Linked DNA regions of Saccharomyces cerevisiae S288C. Changing the gene in region 1 together with any one later gene gives a genetic interaction. Each region holds a gene or a part of one and is shown in the gene's direction. Other genes may lie near its edges.

Region 1 (4,848 bases):
ATGTATTATATGCAAGAAGCATAATGACCTAATTGCATAAGAAAAGGTTTTTGACCAGATGGGAAGTGTACCAACCGTCATCCCTGGTATTGTACACTGTTGGATGATTCACTGTCTTATTGGTCCGTTTTTGTTTGCAATAATATACTGGAGCATTTTTATTGAAGGAATGTTTTTTCCCCAGAAATACTTAGATTGTCAGAGTGTTATAAATTTGCTGTGCGGTTCAAACCAACAGAAGAGAATATTCAAAGAAAAGCTCAGAATATATCAAGTCCATATTCAAGAGAAGATAGGTTGCAGTAAATTTAACACCCTACTCTTAATTTATCAACTGGGCTCACGACATAAGATCAACAGACAAATAAACGACCTACTGTGTAATTTATGCAGTAAAAATTACATGATTATGCTATTATATGCAGAAATCATTATTTACTCTTCTTTTTCCTGTGTACTGTCGGCGACGATTTTCTTAAGAGGATTCCTGCTGTAAAATCCTTTCAGTGCCCTCTAAAGTTGAGGGGGGCAAAAATACTGTCCTCCTTTTAATACATAAAAAAATGACTGGCCTTTATTTGAATGGAGTAAAACTAAAATATTTCGGCGTTTCTATTATCGAACAACAAAAGGTAATACTTTAAAACTATGTCAGACGAGATTGTAACCAACAAATCTGTTACTTATGTTAACAATACTACTCCAGTCACAATTACATCATCGGAGCTGGACTTGAGATCATGTTATCAAGATGACGAAGTTGTTATAGAAGTCCATGCTGCTGCTTTGAATCCAATTGATTTTATTACTCACCAGCTTTGTAACTCCTACATATTTGGCAAGTATCCAAAGACTTATTCTAGAGATTACAGTGGTGTCATCATTAAAGCGGGAAAGGATGTCGACAATCGCTGGAAGGTTGGCGACAAAGTGAATGGTATGTACAGTCATATTTATGGTGAACGTGGTACTTTAACACACTACTTGATACTCAACCCTGCCAAAGATGTACCCATCACACATATGGTGGAGGTTCCAAAGGACGAAAATGACCCATATGACGACTTTGTATATGCTGCTGCCTGGCCCCTAACATTTGGTACAGCCTTTTCTACATTATACGATTTCAAGAAAGATTGGACTTCTGATTCGAAAGTTCTGGTTATTGGCGCTTCAACCTCTGTGTCATATGCTTTTGTCCATATTGCAAAAAACTACTTCAACATCGGCACTGTTGTTGGCATTTGTAGCAAGAATTCCATTGAACGCAATAAGAAATTAGGATATGACTACTTGGTTCCCTATGACGAAGGATCCATCGTTGAGAATGTTAAGAAATTAAAGCAAAGCGTGTTGGAAAACGACAAATTTGACATGATTTTTGATTCAGTGGGTAACCATGATTTCTTCCCTGTCATTGATCAATTTCTAAAACCTAAGGCGAAAAATTCCTTTTACGTTACAATTGCAGGAAATAACAAGGCCGATTATAAGAATATCAGTTGGAGAGATTTCGTATCATTGAGTTCTATTTTAAAGGCTATAAACCCATTCAAAAAATACAACTGGCGCTTTGGACACCCTTATCCCCCCAACAACTTCATTGAAGTTGGCAACGAAATGATCAAGAAGGGCACTTATAAGCCACCTATTGATTCCGTCTACGAGTTTGATCAATATAAAGAAGCTATTGACAGACTGATGTCCAACAGAGCTAAGGGTAAAGTGGTTGTTAAGATGAAATGAGGGCAATATTTTCCACATAAACTTGTTAGTATATTTAGTTAAACTCTATAATTATAATTGTTATTAGTTTTTGTATTATTTGATGGGCATTACCCGACCGACTTGTCATGAAGTGAAAGAAAAGCTCATCACAATATTTTTAAACAGAATTTAAGATGCATTAGCTGGCAAACTACGTTTCAAATATACAGCTCAGCTAGCCCAAATTCTCTCTGCACTCTCAATAACATAGCTTTTTAAAATGGCAGACCTTCAAAAACAAGAGAATAGTAGCAGGTTCACCAATGTTTCTGTTATCGCGCCCGAATCACAGGGACAACATGAACAACAAAAACAGCAGGAGCAGCTGGAGCAGCAAAAGCAGCCAACGGGACTGTTAAAAGGTTTAAACGGGTTTCCGAGTGCACCACAACCGCTGTTCATGGAAGATCCGCCTTCTACTGTCTCGGGAGAACTGAATGATAATCCAGCGTGGTTCAATAATCCAAGGAAAAGAGCCATTCCAAATTCAATAATAAAGAGATCAAATGGCCAATCTTTAAGCCCCGTACGTTCTGATAGTGCAGATGTACCTGCGTTTTCCAATTCCAATGGATTCAACAATGTCACTTTTGGCTCTAAAAAAGATCCACGCATCCTTAAAAACGTATCTCCAAATGATAATAACAGTGCCAACAACAATGCTCATAGTTCAGATTTAGGTACGGTAGTTTTTGATTCTAATGAGGCACCGCCCAAGACCTCCTTGGCAGATTGGCAAAAAGAAGATGGTATATTTTCAAGTAAGACTGACAATATTGAAGATCCTAATTTGTCTTCCAACATAACCTTTGATGGAAAGCCTACAGCCACACCTTCGCCTTTCCGTCCACTAGAAAAGACCTCCAGAATACTTAATTTCTTCGACAAAAACACGAAAACAACGCCGAATACTGCGTCAAGTGAAGCTAGTGCAGGGAGTAAGGAAGGGGCCTCGACGAATTGGGATGATCATGCCATTATTATCTTTGGATATCCAGAAACGATTGCGAATTCTATTATACTCCATTTTGCTAATTTCGGTGAAATTTTAGAGGATTTTAGAGTGATAAAAGATTTTAAAAAGTTGAATTCGAAAAACATGTCAAAAAGTCCGTCATTGACTGCTCAAAAATATCCCATATATACAGGAGATGGATGGGTCAAGTTGACTTACAAATCCGAACTTTCCAAATCTCGTGCTTTACAAGAAAATGGGATTATAATGAATGGAACATTAATTGGCTGTGTTTCGTATAGTCCGGCTGCTCTCAAACAATTAGCTTCCTTGAAGAAATCGGAGGAAATTATAAACAATAAAACAAGTTCACAAACTAGTTTAAGCTCAAAAGACCTCAGCAATTATAGAAAAACAGAAGGAATTTTTGAGAAAGCTAAGGCAAAAGCAGTTACTTCAAAAGTGCGCAATGCAGAATTCAAGGTTTCCAAGAATTCTACTTCCTTCAAAAATCCACGCAGGCTTGAAATAAAGGATGGTCGTTCATTATTTTTGAGAAACAGAGGGAAGATCCACAGTGGTGTCCTGAGCTCGATCGAGTCTGACTTGAAGAAAAGGGAACAAGCGAGCAAGAGTAAGAAAAGTTGGTTAAATAGATTGAATAATTGGTTATTTGGATGGAATGATTTGTAATGAAAAACCTTACCCCCAAATGTAGTGCTTTGGTGCGATTCCAGCATCCTGTGATGTTCACCTACTTCAAGGTTATATAATTTTGTGTGTAGAATTGTAAAAAGGATGGATAGACAGTTCTTGAGATAAAGCACAGTTATTTTGGTATCACATCATCGGAGTATTTTTCAATTCTGATTTTTTGACTGGACCCAACAAACAACTCCAATTCATCCAATTGTCCTTCCGTAGGTAAACAACTGGAAATAGGTACACTTCTTTCTATCATCAATACAACAATGTTAGTACGAGAGACTTCCAGATCAGGTATAACGATGCCCCCAGATGGACATGTCCTATACTCTTGACATTCATAAACACAGAGAGCTGATTCAGGCTCGAAAATATTACATCGCATCCTTAATCGTGCTGATGATTCCACGGGTACTACACGTATAAAAAGTTTGTTCGTAGAATACTTTTTGGTTGGCAAAGTCATCTGAATTTTAAGTTTGTCTGAAGTTTCCTTCCAATGGAACCTGTTGCGACAATGATATGGATAAGTACCGTATATCAAGTTAACACTCCGTAAAGTTATTCCAGATATTAACCTCCATGAAGAGGATAACCGTATCGAGGCAAGTAATTCAAATTCCGTTGAGGCTGGAGGGCCGTAAGTTGAGCATACAATCATATATTTGACATTAGTTAAGATGGGCACGTCTTGTTTAAGGCCCTGCCCGGGCTGATAGTGGTTATCAAACATTATTGGCTTTATCAATTCATAGTCATTAAAGTAATATACTTGGATGTTAATTAAATCATGTGAGCTAGTTGAGATACATGCGGCGTCCATAAGTACTTGATAATCTTGTTCAGAGTGAACTTCCAACTCAAAAGTCGGATTTTGAAAAAAATTACAAGTATCAAATGAGGCTTTTCCCTCTATTTCATAAGGAAAAGAGAAAAGGACTTTGGCAAAAAGACTTTTTGTATCTTTCAATCTTTGAAAACATATTTCCTTCACAACTGAGAAAGAGTGAATACTGAAATTGTTGTTTGTTGTTGAATAACAATACAATAACCTCTCAGTCTCAGCATCTAATCTCAACTTTACCAGCTGAAGTCCAATGTGATTGCCACCGCATTCTACTGGAGGTTCAATTGGACAAATTATGCATTCGGGAGCCTCATTCAAAAAGGAAACTGACCGATTTTCTTGGCTGCCTTCATCTTGCAAATGGGATTCTAGCAATAACCATACCGTCTCTGTCACTTTAGAATTGTTTACCAGGTGAAATAAAGGTTTATCTGCAACGATAGAAAATTTATTGTAGCGTGAAGTATCGTACCGAAAATGAAGTACCTGAGAACGTTTGAATAATTTTTCTTGGTTCCAATTAAGATAAAGTTGTTTGAAATTTTTTAAATACTGTTCATAGCTGATTTCAACA
Region 2 (4,841 bases), on another chromosome or scaffold:
TATGGGGTGTAGACGAAGATTCACAACGCTCTGATGTAAATCACCGGGTGAACAACGCTCATTTGGCCGCTGAACGTAGCAGTAGCGGTACTAATAGTTCCTCGGATGGGAATGGAGAAATGATTCAATCCGAAAAGATCCTACCAATTCATCAAGAAGATCCTGCCAATAGGTAAACGGTTTATTGATTTTGTTTCCAGCTTGGCTCTCTTGATTTTTTATGAGCACGTGTTATTTATTCCTTATTCAAACCTTCATATATGTATAGATGTGCATTGTTTATACGTTACCTAGCATTTTAATGACCCTCCTATTTAGTTATCTTTTATCACATTCGTTAAAACCTAGAGGAAAAAAAGAAAACTGGAGGATTTCACAAATCTTCCTCCAATGTTGCTCATTTCAAGCAAAAAACGACCCCAGTGAGGGTTGAACTCACGATCTTGCGATTAACAGTCGCACGCCTTAACCAACTTGGCCATGGAGTCTTTTTGACTATGTTCTCGAGAAAATATAGGCTCTCTTAGTCCTCAACATTTTAATTATTTGAGTACACCAACCGGTAATCGTGAAATAGTTAACACTCTAGATCCAAAAAATACGTATTTAGGTATAATGGGATGTAAGACCGTTTTTATGAGGGTGCCTTATTTAAATTAAAATTATTATTGCTCGGGCCTTTACCTCGATTTCATGGAATTTTCAACAGGACAAGAAAATGAAGCTTAGAAAAAATATAGAATAATAAATAATATGAAAAGGGAATGGTCAACAGTCATAGTCGCAATTTCTCTCAGGGCGAAATGGACTTTTTGAATGATGATGAACTAGACTTAGATTTACCGGTAACCGCAGAAATATCGAAAGAGTTATTCGCAACAGAAATAGAGAAGTATCGTGAATCCGAGACTAATGGGACCGATGTTGATAACTTTGATGTCGACAGATTCCTAGTGCAGAAAAATTTCCATTACCTTCCTCTCGATTCCCTTATTAGAGATTTGTCTGGACTTTCACAAAAAATGGTACAAACATTATTAGAACAAATAAGAAGTAACTACGACGACTATCTGACTTTTTCCAATACCTATACAGATGAAGAAAATGAAACTCTAATAAATTTAGAGAAAACACAAAGTGATCTTCAAAAATTTATGACTCAATTAGATCATTTGATAAAGGATGACATCAGCAATACACAAGAAATTATAAAGGATGTCCTGGAATACCTAAAGAAGTTAGATGAGATTTACGGCTCTCTGCGTAACCATTCACAATTGACAGAAGCGCTCTCACTTGGAAAGAGATTGAGTAAATCTCTCCATGAAATGTGCGGTATAGAACCATTAGAAGAAGAAATTTGCTCTGGCCTGATTGAGCAGTTGTATAAGTTGATTACGGCATCTCGTCGAATATTGGAGTCTTGTGCTGATTCCAATTCACCATATATTCATCATCTGCGCAATGACTATCAAGACCTTCTGCAAGAATTTCAAATCTCACTGAAAATCTTGACCGAAAAGTGTCTTGAAAACCCATCAAGCCTGCAAAACCTATCTTTGACATTAGTCTCCATTATAAAAACGGCATAGTTGGGAGAAAACTTTCCATACTTCAATTGTGGACTGATATAAGTATTTTAGTTTTGCCCGCATGATCATCCCACATGGCTACAGCAGTTCTCTCATAGGAAAATAGTACAATAGCTACGTGATATAATCTAAATAATTGTTGCCAATGTGTAATTATATCATTTTGAACGTACGCGAAATGGATTATTTTCAAAAATTTTGTTTCTTGAAATGAGTAAAAGCAAAAGTCCAACTCTCCAAGTCGATGTAAACAACTTTTTGCCAAAGGGACTGAAAGACTAAATCGAGGATTATCCCGTTCAAACTATTCCAGAAACGCTCGTTAGTAACAAAAGACATACCTTGTTGACCAATTGATCACATGTTTGGTTTCAGCGGTAGTAATAACGGGTTCGGAAATAAACCAGCTGGTTCGACCGGTTTTTCATTTGGACAAAACAATAACAATACAAATACTCAACCTTCGGCTTCAGGATTTGGTTTTGGGGGCAGCCAGCCAAATTCTGGGACGGCTACTACCGGAGGGTTTGGTGCAAATCAGGCCACAAATACTTTTGGAAGTAACCAACAAAGTAGTACAGGTGGAGGCCTTTTCGGTAATAAGCCTGCTCTTGGCAGCCTAGGAAGTTCAAGCACTACCGCTTCAGGAACTACAGCTACTGGAACAGGTTTATTTGGGCAACAAACAGCACAACCTCAACAATCCACCATTGGAGGTGGGTTATTTGGAAACAAGCCAACTACCACAACGGGAGGTCTTTTCGGCAACAGTGCACAAAACAATAGTACCACAAGTGGGGGTTTATTTGGTAATAAAGTAGGATCCACTGGCTCACTGATGGGCGGCAATAGCACTCAAAACACATCTAACATGAATGCAGGCGGACTTTTTGGTGCAAAGCCTCAGAATACTACAGCGACTACGGGAGGCCTATTTGGCAGTAAGCCACAAGGATCAACAACTAATGGTGGCCTGTTTGGAAGCGGCACCCAGAATAACAATACCCTTGGGGGAGGTGGCCTTTTTGGCCAATCCCAGCAGCCTCAAACAAACACTGCGCCCGGACTTGGAAACACGGTATCCACACAACCATCATTTGCTTGGTCTAAGCCTTCAACTGGATCTAATTTACAGCAGCAGCAGCAGCAGCAAATTCAAGTACCGTTGCAACAAACGCAAGCAATTGCTCAACAACAGCAGCTGTCTAATTATCCGCAGCAAATTCAAGAACAGGTGTTGAAATGTAAAGAATCGTGGGATCCAAACACAACGAAAACAAAACTCAGGGCTTTCGTGTACAATAAAGTGAACGAAACGGAAGCCATTTTATATACAAAACCAGGACATGTACTTCAAGAAGAGTGGGATCAGGCAATGGAAAAGAAACCTTCCCCTCAGACAATTCCCATTCAAATATATGGATTTGAGGGTTTGAATCAACGTAATCAAGTACAGACTGAAAATGTAGCCCAAGCTAGAATAATTTTGAACCATATTTTAGAGAAATCCACACAATTGCAACAAAAGCATGAATTGGACACTGCGTCCAGAATTTTGAAGGCACAATCAAGGAATGTTGAAATTGAAAAAAGAATCTTAAAATTGGGCACACAATTGGCAACCCTGAAAAATAGAGGACTGCCATTGGGTATTGCAGAAGAGAAAATGTGGTCGCAATTCCAAACTTTACTACAGCGGAGCGAAGATCCTGCAGGTTTAGGTAAGACTAACGAACTTTGGGCACGTTTGGCTATCTTAAAAGAACGTGCTAAAAACATTTCTAGTCAATTAGATAGTAAATTAATGGTTTTCAACGACGATACAAAAAACCAAGACAGCATGTCCAAAGGCACCGGTGAAGAATCTAATGATCGTATTAATAAGATAGTGGAAATTCTGACGAATCAACAACGCGGTATAACATATTTAAATGAGGTTTTAGAGAAAGATGCTGCAATTGTAAAAAAATATAAAAATAAAACGTAATCAGGTTACTTAAATCAATGACTGAATTGTATAAAGATCGATCTATTACATATATAGCATTATTAACCAACTTAGTATATGAACAGAACTTCAACCCAAGGGAAGCAGACATTCACTATAAAACTTTTCTCAGCATCAAAATAAAGTGCAAATTATGTTGTTTTTTTCTATTGAATTATACATTCTATTAAAGAGAAAATATTGATGTGATTCTCTCCCATTCCTAATAAGAAATTAGAAGGAACTTTCTGGAAGAATAAAGAGATACATTAAGGTACAAAAACAATGTAGTCCTCGAGAGGATAACTTTCGTGCTTATGATCTTGGCTTTTCCTTCTTTTCTTTCCACAAAGCCAACAAGGAGACACCAGAGACCTTAACGACCTTGAATCTAACACCTGGAATATCACCCTTAGCTTTACCCTTTCTACCGAAACCTGCTAGCAAGACTTCATCATTTTCGTCGACAAAGTTCAAACAACCATCGTTTGGAACGAAAGCAGTGACCTTCTTACCGTTCTTGATTAATTGAACTCTAACACACTTTCTGATAGCAGAGTTAGGTTGCTTGGATTCGATACCCAATTTTTCCAAGACGATACCCTTGGCATGAGAAGAACCACCGAATGGAGAAGACTTGAAGGCAGTACCCAACAATCTCTTCTTGTAGTTGTTTTCGGCCCAACGGCTATAATAATAAAAAAAAACTGTTAGTAAAAAAATGATTCCGTTGTAAAAAACGGCCTCCTGTGACTTTCTGAGTTATTTTGGGAAGAAAAGGTTTATTTTCCACACTATAGATTGGGAAGAATGGCCGAAGCTGACCGTTCACTATTCATTACTTTTTATCACTGTGACGTGTCATTTTAAGCCTCTCCAAACTGATTTGCGCCAGGATATGTTACTGATAAATTTATCACTCCAGAGCTCACAACATTTCCTTCACCTAAAACGATATCACAATAGGGGGTTGATAGTTTTTTTTAATTTTGAAATAGTCAACATACTTGTTTCTTCTGTGGACACGTAGCTTTCTAGCAGAGTTCAAACCTCTTGGCTTACCTTTACCCATCTTTGTTTATTTCCTGTTGTCTTAGGTTTTTGTAAAATTTGACATTATCTAATATGTCAATTCATAGGCAGTATCTAATTTAACGTACTGTAACCGTTAGTCGAAACATTGTGATATTACGGCAGTGTACTCTCGGCGTAGAGAACTCAAACCTCCGCTACTGCTTTCCGTCAGCAATCGGCAGAGATGA
Region 3 (4,449 bases), on another chromosome or scaffold:
TACAATTGATACATGTAATAAGCAAATTAATTCATTAAGTTTATAAATATCCGGTGAAGTCTTCTGTATAAAAAGAGAAACATGAGTTCGTCCAAACATATAACCGAAGGGGGGGGTAATAAAAAGAGCCTGCTTTTTATGTTACTGAGAAATCTATATCGTCACATCCAACACGCTCCCCACATCCAACACGTTTCCTGATGAAAGGTCCTCCAAAAGTGGGATAATATCTAGTAACTCATTATCATGAGTATCAGAGAACCAAGAAGATATCGGAACAGCATGTTGCGGATGAAAGATGTAAGAGGCCGGCGAATTATCTAAGATGATTGTTTCGGACAATGGTCTTCCGATCTGCGATAAGTTCTTGATGTAGTTACCTTCGTAGTTATAACAAGCTTCTCTGAATAATCGATGATGGATGGTTCCATTAGGGTCCAACGTATCTAAAAGGGGGTTTGCATACCTCGAAACACTTGCCGTGAACACAACAACTTCGTATAGTTGACTCACCCTGTTCAAGAACTCATCGACGCCTGGCCTCTTAATAACATAGACATTGTGAACTTGATCATCGATTTCGACGGGCAAAACGAAATCAGCTGAATGCATATATTTAAAGGAAGAATGTACCAAAGTTTCGTCTAGATCCAATATCAGACATTTTTTCTGTTGAAATTCTTGCAACTTGGGTGGTAGCAGAGTGTCGTATCCGGGGGCATGGTACTGGTCTGGTTGCAAATGCGTCAGGTCAGAGAAGTCCTCCTCCGTTGTAGGTATCAAGTTTAAATCATTATCAGGACTGCTGGCGACATATTGTGGATTCATATCTTCTTGACCCACCTGATACAGACCCTGTTGTGGTGGCGCCTCGTCATTAATACTGGAATTTCTATCTGCGTCAACGTTATATTCATGAACGACATGGTCTTGCTTTTCTTTTGCTTCGTCATCTTCTTCTTCTTCTTCTCCGGCATTGTTAACCTCCGTCATTTCTACGTCTCCTTCATTATAATCTTCATATTCTTTCTCCTCATCGTACGAGTTGTTGGAGTGATCTCTTGATAAAGGTGCTAGTTTTCCATTGCCGCTATTCCCATTCTCCTGCATTGTCTTGGAACCCGCATTGCTGCCTGAATCGGAACTAGACAAAAGGATCTCCGGTGTGGAATATTGCATCTTGTCGCCGTTTGGAGTAGCCTTCTGCTTACGACCCTGAGTTTGAGCTTTGTTTGAACTGTGCTTACGGTTGCGGTTGCGGTTGTGATTAGTTTCTGGTGGTTGGCGTTGACGATGTGTTTTGGAAGTATCTGAAGAACAGCACAGTATATTTGCTATAAATCCCATCTGATGATGATCTGAAAAAGCTCCCTAAAACAGACAGAGAAGCACTCTTCACTCAGTTTTTATTGCCAAATAAGTGGAAAATTAAAACGAAAGAACTCAAAAGCAGCACTGCGCTCGAAGAAAGATATATCTTAGCTTAAATCCTCTCCAAAAGGGGAGAACGAAGAATATGTGTAAATTAAGCGATGCTTCGTGGGTTTCTTTTACGCGCTGCGAAAAAGATAATCAAATCTCTAAATTTTAGAAATATAAGCCAGTCGGTAGCCCCCACAAGTCAATTATATATGTCAAAGTTCGTGGCACTGTGGACTGCTTTCATAAAGCTTCTCTTTATCTGTTCCTTAGACTGTGAATACTGAGGTTTTCTAAAAAAAAGCAAAAAAAAAAAAAGAGGGTCCAAACCTATTAACTTCAGGGTTTAAGTATCTTTTTTGTAGGTTATAATGTTCTTTTTATAAACCTTTCTCAGGTTATAATAATATTTCTCAGGTCTAATTAGGGCTAAAGTCTAAAGAAAAATGAAAAAAAAAAAAAATGAAATTTGTGCTAATAGTAATAATGATAGAAATAATAACAATTAATAAGATGGTTATGATGAACAAAAAGATTTATATTATAAGAACTTGACAATATACAGACTTTTAATATATCCGCAGAGGCAAAAAAATAATAGAGGGAACTATGAAGATTCAGGCGGGCCAATTGGGCCTGGACGATAATGACGTGCCGGGACCATTGCCGGACACAGACAGCAAACCCTCATCACAATCACAAAATGACACACCAATGTTTAAATTGGGCAACTTTGAAAGTCCTGTGCTCAAGGAGCTATCACGGCGAACGGTAAACAAGGAAATGGAGACGCAGAGAATTATGACAAACGTAATTGCGTTTGCGTTCTGGAACCTGCTGGTGAAGTTCATCAAGTTCTTTTGGAACAACACTCATGTTGGGAGACAGTTTTGCAACCGGCTATCCAGAATCCATCTGTACATGTTGACATTTCACACGTTAAAGAAGGCTAACATCATATATCACACCACGTTCAGTTGGTTGAATGCAGAACTTCTTGACTACTTGTTCCACCTATTAATCTCGCTCAATATACTGTTTTCTCTTTGGAAGCTCTTATCCACCGTCAAAGTAAGTGATTTGAATCTCACTGACAGGCAAAAGAAGCTCCTGGGGGTAGACATGCAATCATCTGTCGATACTGGGTTGCAGCCACAACACCCCCACTACGTATCCACTTCTAAGATCAGCCAAATGGCACAGAACAAAACACATATTCCTCAAACAAATCTCAAAAATCATCCAGCATATCTCTTCAAAGGCTTAGAGACGCCTTTGAAAGCAAGACAAAGGGAAATGGCGGAGGAACAGACGAAACTACAATCTCAATCCTTACACACAAAGAATGTATTTGGCACACTGCAGAGGCATAGCGGTATCAGTAGCACATTAGTGAGCGCTAACAATGACAATAACTCGCCGCATACCCCTGTAACTAGGAAGGGCTACATTCCAAGTAGCAAATATGCATATATGATGAACTCACAGTCCCCAAGGGGGAAAATATAAAAACAGCAAAAAAACATTTAATACTTTCCATAGCTATATATGTTTTCTCTCCTATTTATATTTTACATATGATTAGCGGCAACCATTACCAATAGTTTGGAAATAAGTATCTTAGTCTTTCTAAGGTTTCCTTGGACATAGCCTCTGGTTTGGTAGAGATAGATTTCTTGATGGAACCGCGCAGCCCATCGCCAGTATGCATGAACTCTGGGATTTCCTTGGCCATTGAGACGATGATCTTAGAAGCTAAAATATTTGCATTGCGCCCATTATTCGTCAAATTACCAATAACGGTTTCTACGGTAACAGGTTCTGCCTCATCTCTCCATGCGTCGTAATCGGTAGACATACAAATCATCTGGTAAGGCAGCTCACACTCACGCGCCAATTTGGCTTCTGGAATAACACTCATGTTAATAACATGGCCACCAAACATTCTGTACATCTTGGATTCAGCGCGCGTGGAGAATTGTGGGCCTTCCATACACACAACGGTCATATCCTTGTCGTAATGCAAATGGCACGGTTCTTCGGATTCAGGATTTGTTATCTCGTTCTTGAATTGATAGATATACTCTGCGAATTTTTGAGAGAACGGCTGTCCGAAACCAACGTGACCTACCAAGCCTTCATCGTTGAAATATGAAGAATGTCTTATGCCTTTAGTTCTGTCGATTATTTGCTGTGGTAACACAAAATCTCTAGGCTTTATATGGGGTTGTAAAGACCCCACGGCACTAAAAGAAAGAACGGCTTTACAATTTAAGTTCTTTAAGGCCGCCATGTTTGCTCTAAATGGGACTTTAGTGGGTGGGTATTCGTGGTTAATACCGTGTCTGGCTATGAACGCAACGTGAAAGTGGCTGTTAGTTCCTACGAACTGAGAGATTGTGACAGGAGACGATGTGGTACCCCATGGTGTTACCATGGGTGGAAGCAAAGCGATGGGCTCCAGACAGTCAAGGTTATATAAACCTGTACCACCAATAATCCCTAAATCAACAGTTCCTTCGAATATGCTCGGTAATTCTGAGTTCGTCATAACTTTGCTTAGTTTTAATCTCTTAGCAACAGAAAATGTATTCTTAATCCTGTTCATTTAATCTCATCTCATCTCGAAATAGTTTTTTTTCATTCACACGTTCATCTTTTTTCATTTTTCTTTTTCTTTTTTTTGCTTTCTTTTCACATAATTGACAATAAAGGCGTCCTACAATAGAAGCCTTGGTATAACGTAAAAGCCACAGCAAGCATGGTGTACTTCATTTCCGACTCCATTTGCGTATAGACATGTTTCACAGACGCAAAAGACCTTATAACACCAGAAATTATGGCCATGATGACAAGAAATTCAAATCGCAGTACATCGATATTATGCCAGACTTCAGCCCTTCCGGTCTGTTAGAGCTGGAGTCGAATAACAAAGAAGGTATAGCTTTAAAACATGTGGAGCCGCAGGACGCTATTTCTCCAGATAACTACATGGATATGCTAGGACTGGAGGCGCGAGATAGGACTATG
Region 4 (8,617 bases), 500 kb from region 1:
CCAAACCGGCGCCCTCGGTCGCCACCAACGACCCTTCTCCGGAGCCAGTACCATCGGCTCCGGAGGAACGCGTTGCTCGGTTAAACAGACATGGTAGTGATCGAAAGAGAGCCGTTAATAGTGACATGGTTGAAATCGTGATGACGATGGCGCCACATGTGCCTCAGGAAAAAGTCGTGCAAGATCTCAGGAACACAGGGTCCATTGAGCACACAATGGAAAATATCTTCGCTGGCAAACTAGATTAGGCATTCTTATGTACCGCATTAAATATATTAAAAATCACAAATCGACTGGCGTAGGATGTATGCGCCTCTTTTTACTATCGCTACTATTGCAGGGGATCTTCTTCACCGGCAGCATGTTCACGATCCCACCTGCCTCGCGCTGGTTCTTAGCCGCTACCGCGCTCTCGTCAGTGTCTAGTGGCTCTGCATGCATCGCTGGCGGCTCTATCCTTGAACCGAATTGCGTTTCTGTGTCGATCGATACATACGAACAGAATCCGTCTGTTGATGAGATTAGTAGGGTCGAGCCATCCTCAGACCATGCTAAATCAGTTATGGGTGAGTAATGTATATTTCCCACAACGCATAACGGCTCCAATACATCCGTGTCGTACACGAGTACTTCGTTAGTCGTTGCTATGGCAAATACTAGCTTATAGGGCAGCTTAAGCACACTCTTCTGGCACGTTTCGTAAAATACGGGCGAGAAAGCCGCCATCAGCGCTGGTTTCTTCAAAGATGGGATTCTAATCGCAGGCCGGTTTTTAACGCCACCAGCGCTGTTCAGTATTCCAGATCTAGTATACACGTATACGCAGTTCGCGACTTCATCACCAGCCACCTTATACACACCACTGGGAATTACGACCAAACCACCACAAGGCGATATGCTGCATCGCCTAAAGAATGAAGGTAGCGTCTCGTTGTGAAAAAGGTAATTTGTCCTCAGGACATCACCTGGACAAGGCAGTTCTGCCTTGGCAATCTTACTTCTAAGTTTCAGCCCTGTAACCACTCCTGCAGATGAAAGAATGACTCCATATACATGCAGAGACCGGTCCGCAGACTGTGAGAGAATAAACTGATTTAATGGGTCCCATGCAACACCTTGGACGTAGTGACCATGATCCGACTGGCCGCATACCAGCATCCCAGCTCCAACATCGAACAGTCGTATCGAATTGTCCATACATGCCACCACTATGTTCCTGTTATCAGGTGACCACGCTAGATCGTAAATCTCTGCCGCCGCAGTAGCACCGCTACCACCACGCAGCCGTTTCCACACAACCCATTTCTCCTTGTTCTCGTCTGCTTCACTAGTCTCCGCATCCATTCCGAATGGTCTGACCACAGATTCTTGCTGTGTATTTGGATCTTCTTGCTTCCATAGCAGCACTTGGCCGTCATCGCCCGCAGACGCCAGTACGTCACCCTTCGAGTTGAATCGGATTACATTTATGGCCTGTTCGTGATGCGTCAGCGAGCCAAGAAAGTCAAGGCTTTCAATCTTACGCACCCCCCCATTTTGTCCGTTTTCATCTCTGTTCAACTTCCATATCCTAACCTTGTTATCACCACCAGCGGTGAAAAGCTTGTCGTTCGCACTGTTCTTTTGGAATGTGAGCGAGTAAACGGGTTGTGAATCATGCCAGTAGATTTGCAAATGTGAAGCTTCCATTGTCCTGCCCCTTTGCTCTAAGCTTTTCTGCCTCCTTCTTTTAAATTCTGATACGTACTATAACGCTATAATAATAGCCCATCAGTTAGACAGCGAGTTAACTAACGTGTTCGCCGGGCAACCCAAGGAAATAAGGCGTCCTTTTCACATTTTCATATTTTTTCAAATTTTTTTCAATTCTAATTTTCCTTTTTCTCCCCCACCGTCTATAAAAGCTAGTAGTTTTCTACTTTTCACCACAGAAATCTATTCCTTCGATAACAGTCCCTAAATAAAAACACGACAAAAAGGCCCCACGCAAGCATGTGCAGCAACGGACAGGCGTCGTGCGCACAAACTTGCTCAGGGGCCCGAATACTAGCACATATGTCAAATTCCTAATTAACGTTTTTTATATTCATCGTTTCTTAGAGCCGTAATTGTGCTGATATCAATATCAGGGAAGAACATACCATATAGAGGTGTCAAGTACACCGAACGATCGTGGTGCTCCCTCAGCCACGGGCGTGCTTGGACGCTATTCCCACATATATACGCAAACAATCTATGTCTTCTCCCTCCTTGCCAGAAAGCCGGCTCCTGCTTGTAGTTAAGGTATATATGTATATATTCCGGGTAAGAATATTTTGTAATACCAAAAATTTTCTTCTTGAAATGAATACTTTGAGACATCTTTAATATTCGAACAGAAACACAAATAAAGAGATAACCCTTTCCACCGCTAAAAAAAGGACCCCATCAGCCATGGCTACACCTTCATTTGGCAATTCCTCTCCACAATTGACCTTCACTCATGTTGCTAATTTTATGAACGATGCTGCTGCTGATGTATCCGCTGTGGATGCCAAGCAATTGGCCCAAATAAGACAGTTTTTGAAAGCTAACAAGACAAATCTTATCGAGAGTCTGAACACAATAAGGCAGAATGTAACTTCTTCCGGCGATCATAACAAGTTACGCTCTACAATTGCAAACTTATTGCAAATAAACGTCGATAATGATCCATTCTTTGCTCAATCTGAGGACCTTTCTCATGCTGTAGAATTCTTTATGTCTGAGAGATCATCTAGACTTCATATAGTATACTCACTTCTCGTTAACCCTGACATCGACCTCGAGACATATTCATTTATTGACAACGATAGATTCAATGTAGTGGGGAAATTGATTTCTATAATATCATCTGTAATCCAGAACTACGACATTATTACAGCTTCATCTTTAGCACATGATTATAATAACGATCAAGACATGTTCACAATTGTCTCATTGGTGCAGTTAAAAAAATTTTCTGATTTGAAGTTTATCTTGCAGATATTACAAATTTTGAATTTAATGATCCTCAACACAAAAGTACCAGTAGATATCGTCAATCAATGGTTTCTACAGTATCAAAATCAATTTGTTGAATTTTGCAGAAATATAAATTCAACAGACAAGAGTATAGATACCTCGTCACTACAATTGTACAAGTTTCAGAATTTCCAAGACCTCAGTTACCTCTCAGAAACGCTTATTTCCAGGATTTCATCTTTATTTACTATCACAACTATATTGATACTTGGACTGAACACTTCAATCGCGCAATTTGATATTCAGTCACCTTTGTACATGGATACAGAAACTTTCGACACCGTCAATAGCGCTCTAGAGAATGATGTAGCAACCAATATCGTCAACGAGGACCCCATTTTCCATCCAATGATTCATTACTCCTGGTCATTTATACTTTATTATAGGCGAGCATTACAATCGTCGGAATCATTTGATGATTCAGACATAACGAAATTTGCTCTGTTTGCTGAATCACATGATGTTCTTCAAAAATTGAATACTCTCTCAGAAATTCTATCCTTTGATCCTGTTTACACCACAGTAATAACAGTATTTTTGGAGTTTTCTTTAAATTTTATTCCTATAACTGCATCTACTTCCCGGGTTTTCGCCAAGATAATTTCAAAGGCACCAGAGCAGTTCATTGAGAATTTCTTAACTAATGACACTTTTGAGAAAAAATTGAGCATCATAAAGGCTAAATTGCCCCTATTGAACGAATCACTGATCCCGCTAATTAATTTAGCCTTAATTGATACCGAGTTTGCCAATTTTGAATTAAAAGATATATGTTCATTTGCTGTTACCAAAAGTAGTTTGAACGATTTGGATTATGACTTAATTGCTGATACAATAACAAACTCTTCTTCATCCTCCGATATTATAGTGCCTGATTTGATAGAGTTGAAGTCTGATTTACTAGTGGCGCCACCCTTAGAAAACGAAAACTCTAATTGTCTCTTGTCAATACCAAAATCAACAAAGGGAAAAATTCTTACTATCAAACAACAACAACAACAACAACAACAACAGAATGGACAACAGCCGCCAACTACTTCCAATTTGATTATTTTCCTTTACAAATTCAATGGTTGGTCTTTGGTGGGTAGAATATTGCAAAATCTATTACATTCATATATGGAAAAGGGTACACAACTGGATGACTTACAACATGAATTGATGATATCCATAATAAAGTTAGTCACTAACGTTGTCGATCCGAAAACCTCGATCGAGAAATCTAGTGAAATTCTGTCATATTTATCAAATTCTCTGGATACTTCAGCCAGCACCATAAATGGAGCGTCGATTATCCAAGTAATTTTCGAGATTTTTGAAATATCACTACAAAGAAAAGATTATACCTCAATTGTACAATGTTGTGAATTTATGACTATGCTGACACCGAATTACCTTCATCTTGTTTCTTCTTACTTGAACAAATCGGATTTGTTAGACAAATATGGTAAGACTGGTCTTTCCAATATGATACTCGGTTCGGTTGAATTATCTACGGGGGATTACACATTCACTATCCAATTGCTTAAGCTAACAAAAGTCTTTATTCGAGAATCTCTCTCATTGAAAAATATCCATATTTCCAAGAGAAGTAAAATTGATATTATTAATAAGTTGATTCTACATGCAATTCATATCTTTGAGAGTTATTACAACTGGAAGTACAACAACTTCTTACAAAAATTCGAAATTGCCTTCCATTTGACATTAATTTTTTATGATGTACTTCATGACGTTTTCACCATAAATCCACATCAAAAGGATCAGTTAATCATTTCCTCGTCAGCAAACAAATTGTTGCAGTTATTTTTGACTCCCATGGATTCCATTGATTTGGCTCCAAATACTTTGACGAATATTCTGATTTCACCATTGAATACCACAACAAAAATTTTAGGCGACAAAATTTTGGGTAATTTATATAGCAAGGTAATGAATAACTCCTTCAAGCTGTGCACGCTTTTGATCGCTATTCGAGGTAGCAATCGTGATTTAAAGCCAAGCAACCTGGAAAAATTGCTTTTCATAAATTCATCAAAATTGGTTGACGTTTATACCCTACCAAGTTATGTTCATTTCAAAGTGCAGATCATAGAGTTGTTAAGCTATTTAGTAGAGGCTCCTTGGAATGACGACTATCCATTTCTGTTATCTTTCCTTGGTGAAGCAAAGTCAATGGCATTTTTGAAAGAAGTCCTGTCGGACCTGAGCTCTCCAGTGCAAGATTGGAACCTTCTCCGAAGTTTGTACATTTTTTTTACTACCCTATTAGAAAGTAAACAAGATGGGTTATCTATCCTCTTCTTAACAGGTCAATTTGCCTCCAATAAAAAAATTAATGACGAATCCTCCATAGACAAAAAGAGTTCTATATTAACTGTTTTGCAAAAGAATTCTTTACTATTAGATTCAACGCCTGAAGAAGTAAGTTGCAAGTTATTAGAAACGATAACATATGTTTTAAACACTTGGACAAATTCTAAAATATTCATAAAAGATCCTAAATTTGTGAATTCCTTATTGGCTAAGTTGAAGGACTCAAAAAAATTATTTCAGAAAAAGGAAAATTTGACTCGTGACGAAACTGTTTCTTTGATTAAGAAATACAAATTGATCTCAAGGATTGTAGAAATATTTGCGTTGTGTATTTACAACTCCACTGATTCAAACTCGGAAATTTTAAATTTTTTGAATCAGGAAGACTTGTTTGAATTAGTTCATCATTTCTTCCAAATTGATGGGTTCAATAAAACTTTTCATGATGAATTAAACTTAAAATTTAAAGAGAAATGGCCCAGTTTAGAGCTTCAGTCGTTCCAAAAAATTCCATTATCCAGAATAAACGAAAATGAGAATTTCGGTTATGATATTCCGTTATTAGATATAGTTTTAAAAGCTGACCGTAGTTGGAACGAACCAAGTAAGAGTCAGACAAATTTTAAGGAGGAAATAACAGACGCTTCATTAAATTTGCAGTATGTCAATTACGAAATATCTACCGCAAAAGCATGGGGCGCACTAATCACCACGTTTGTGAAGAGGAGCACTGTTCCGTTAAATGATGGTTTTGTCGACTTGGTAGAGCATTTCCTCAAGTTAAATATTGATTTTGGTTCAGATAAACAAATGTTTACCCAAATATATCTGGAAAGAATTGAGTTGTCGTTTTACATTTTATATTCGTTCAAGTTGTCGGGAAAATTGTTGAAGGAAGAAAAGATAATTGAATTGATGAACAAGATTTTTACAATTTTCAAATCTGGTGAGATTGACTTTATTAAAAATATTGGTAAGTCACTAAAAAATAACTTTTATAGACCTCTTTTGAGATCTGTCTTAGTTCTTCTCGAGTTAGTCTCGTCAGGAGATCGTTTTATCGAATTAATATCTGATCAACTACTGGAATTTTTTGAATTAGTGTTTAGTAAGGGTGTTTATTTGATACTGTCTGAGATATTATGTCAGATCAATAAATGCTCCACGAGGGGTTTAAGCACCGATCACACCACCCAAATTGTCAACTTGGAGGATAATACTCAGGATTTATTGTTATTATTATCACTCTTCAAGAAGATCACCAATGTGAATCCCTCTAAAAACTTCAATGTTATTCTAGCATCATCCCTAAACGAAGTAGGAACTTTGAAAGTTATACTGAACCTATATTCAAGCGCGCATTTGATAAGGATTAACGATGAACCAATTCTTGGGCAAATTACTCTGACCTTTATCTCCGAATTGTGTTCTATTGAGCCAATTGCTGCAAAACTCATCAACAGTGGATTGTATAGCGTTCTATTGGAAAGTCCACTATCTGTTGCAATACAGCAAGGTGATATAAAACCTGAATTTTCGCCTAGATTGCACAACATTTGGAGCAATGGTTTGTTATCCATTGTTCTACTACTATTAAGTCAGTTCGGTATCAAGGTTTTACCTGAGACGTGCCTATTTGTTTCATATTTTGGAAAACAAATAAAATCTACAATATATAACTGGGGTGACAACAAGTTAGCAGTGTCAAGTTCGTTGATAAAGGAAACGAATCAATTGGTTTTATTGCAAAAAATGCTAAACTTGCTAAATTACCAAGAATTGTTTATTCAGCCTAAAAACTCTGATGATCAACAAGAAGCTGTAGAATTGGTTATTGGTCTAGATTCTGAACATGATAAAAAAAGGTTAAGCGCTGCATTAAGCAAGTTTCTAACACATCCAAAATACTTGAATTCAAGAATAATACCTACAACTTTAGAAGAGCAACAGCAGTTGGAGGATGAATCAAGCAGATTGGAGTTCGTCAAGGGTATCAGCAGAGACATTAAAGCATTACAAGATTCACTATTTAAGGACGTTTAACTTATTTTGCAGGTTATGTAAAGCTACATAATATAATAATGAACAGTGCAAGTGCAAGGGTGGCCCTTTGTTGCTATACTGCGGACTGCGACTGTATGAGCTTTTTCCATCCCAGTTCTATCCATTGTGTACTTTTTTTTTTCATCGCCTTACGAACTTCAAAAATATGTAAACAATAAGATAAGTAAATTAACCGAAGACTCTCATGCTTTGAAAGCGCCATAAGTGCGCGTGTTTGTGCCTTCTGATATGATATCGTATGCCTAAGTTTCCACAGTTTCGATTGATTTTAGTTTTGTTTTACTTAATATCAATGATACAATGGTCGGTAATCACTTTTTCGCTGGGGTTCTTTCTTAATGTCTGCATCTTTGCGTACTTCGTATTCTTCAAATCCTTGCCTGATTTACCGAAACCTCAGCCAAGATTTGTTGATATCGTACCGGAAAGTTCGAATACTGTGGATGTTGATAAAGAATTGAAGTCTGTCGAGGGTTTAATACAAGATGGGAACGCGCAAATTGGGAAAGAATTAGAGAGTATTGTTAATTTAATTATTAAAGATTTTGTTCAGCCTTGGTTCACAAAAATCGATAAGAATAGTGACGCAGAGTTCCTCAAAGTAATAAAGTGGAGATTATTACAAACGCTCCTAGTGGTGAAGGACAAGTTGATGAAGAATGATAGTGCCAGCTTGATTGTTCTGAAGCTGTTGCCTATATTTAACAAACATTTCAGCACTTTTTGTGATGCCAGAGAAGCTGTGCTAAGCGATTTGACTCTTGAAAGGCATAAATCAGCCAACATCGATCTACAAATTGCCGTTGAGTTTAATAAAAATTACAAAATACATAAATCATTATCATTGAAGCCGAATGCTCTTCAGAAAGAAATTGAAAAATCCATAAGGAAAACTGTAATCGGGCTCCTTCCTCACCTTTTTGATAATGATGAGTTAGATTCATTGCTTGTTTTCACATTAATGACGGAAGTTCTCACTACGTGCATTATTTCTCCATTAATTTTCAAATTTACTGATCCAGATAGTTGGAATTTAAGAATTGTAAGCCTTTCACAAAATTATTTCGAGGAAAAGCACAAAGTTCACAAGATAAGAAGAATGTTGAGTAAAGAGTTACAAGATCATAGAAAAGTGATGAATGACGTAGCGAACAAAGATGTTGGAGAACCCTCAAGTGAAAAATTGGAGCTTAAT

Evidence for each region.
Region 2: mutations in NUP53 (region 1) and NUP57 together harm fitness more than expected from each alone (negative genetic interaction), as found in Saccharomyces cerevisiae (3 studies listed by BioGRID).
Region 3: mutations in NUP53 (region 1) and POM34 together harm fitness more than expected from each alone (negative genetic interaction), as found in Saccharomyces cerevisiae (6 studies listed by BioGRID, with this or other methods).
Region 4: mutations in NUP53 (region 1) and NUP188 together harm fitness more than expected from each alone (negative genetic interaction), as found in Saccharomyces cerevisiae (5 studies listed by BioGRID, with this or other methods).

What each region holds. Positions count from the first base shown.
Region 1 is NC_001145.3:562,448-567,295, forward strand, and holds NUP53 (FG-nucleoporin NUP53), read left to right. Parts: upstream 1-1,987; coding exon 1,988-3,415; downstream 3,416-4,848. Other genes in the region: endopeptidase catalytic subunit IMP1, read right to left, coding at 1-81; YIM1 (Yim1p), read left to right, coding at 649-1,746; RIM13 (Rim13p), read right to left, coding at 3,552-4,848. UniProt on the Saccharomyces cerevisiae protein: Functions as a component of the nuclear pore complex (NPC).
Region 2 is NC_001139.9:726,784-731,624, reverse strand, and holds NUP57 (FG-nucleoporin NUP57), read left to right. Parts: upstream 1-1,953; coding exon 1,954-3,579; downstream 3,580-4,841. Other genes in the region: ammonium permease MEP1, read left to right, coding at 1-176; Golgi transport complex subunit COG2, read left to right, coding at 804-1,592; 40S ribosomal protein uS12 RPS23A, read right to left, coding at 3,895-4,267, 4,587-4,651. UniProt on the Saccharomyces cerevisiae protein: Functions as a component of the nuclear pore complex (NPC).
Region 3 is NC_001144.5:177,186-181,634, reverse strand, and holds POM34 (Pom34p), read left to right. Parts: upstream 1-2,028; coding exon 2,029-2,928; downstream 2,929-4,449. Other genes in the region: PSR2 (putative phosphatase), read right to left, coding at 154-1,347; MEU1 (S-methyl-5-thioadenosine phosphorylase), read right to left, coding at 3,014-4,027; PML1 (Pml1p), read left to right, coding at 4,219-4,449. UniProt on the Saccharomyces cerevisiae protein: Functions as a component of the nuclear pore complex (NPC).
Region 4 is NC_001145.3:61,366-69,982, reverse strand, and holds NUP188 (Nup188p), read left to right. Parts: upstream 1-2,433; coding exon 2,434-7,401; downstream 7,402-8,617. Other genes in the region: CUE4 (Cue4p), read left to right, coding at 1-248; CAC2 (Cac2p), read right to left, coding at 283-1,689; MDM1 (Mdm1p), read left to right, coding at 7,661-8,617. UniProt on the Saccharomyces cerevisiae protein: Functions as a component of the nuclear pore complex (NPC).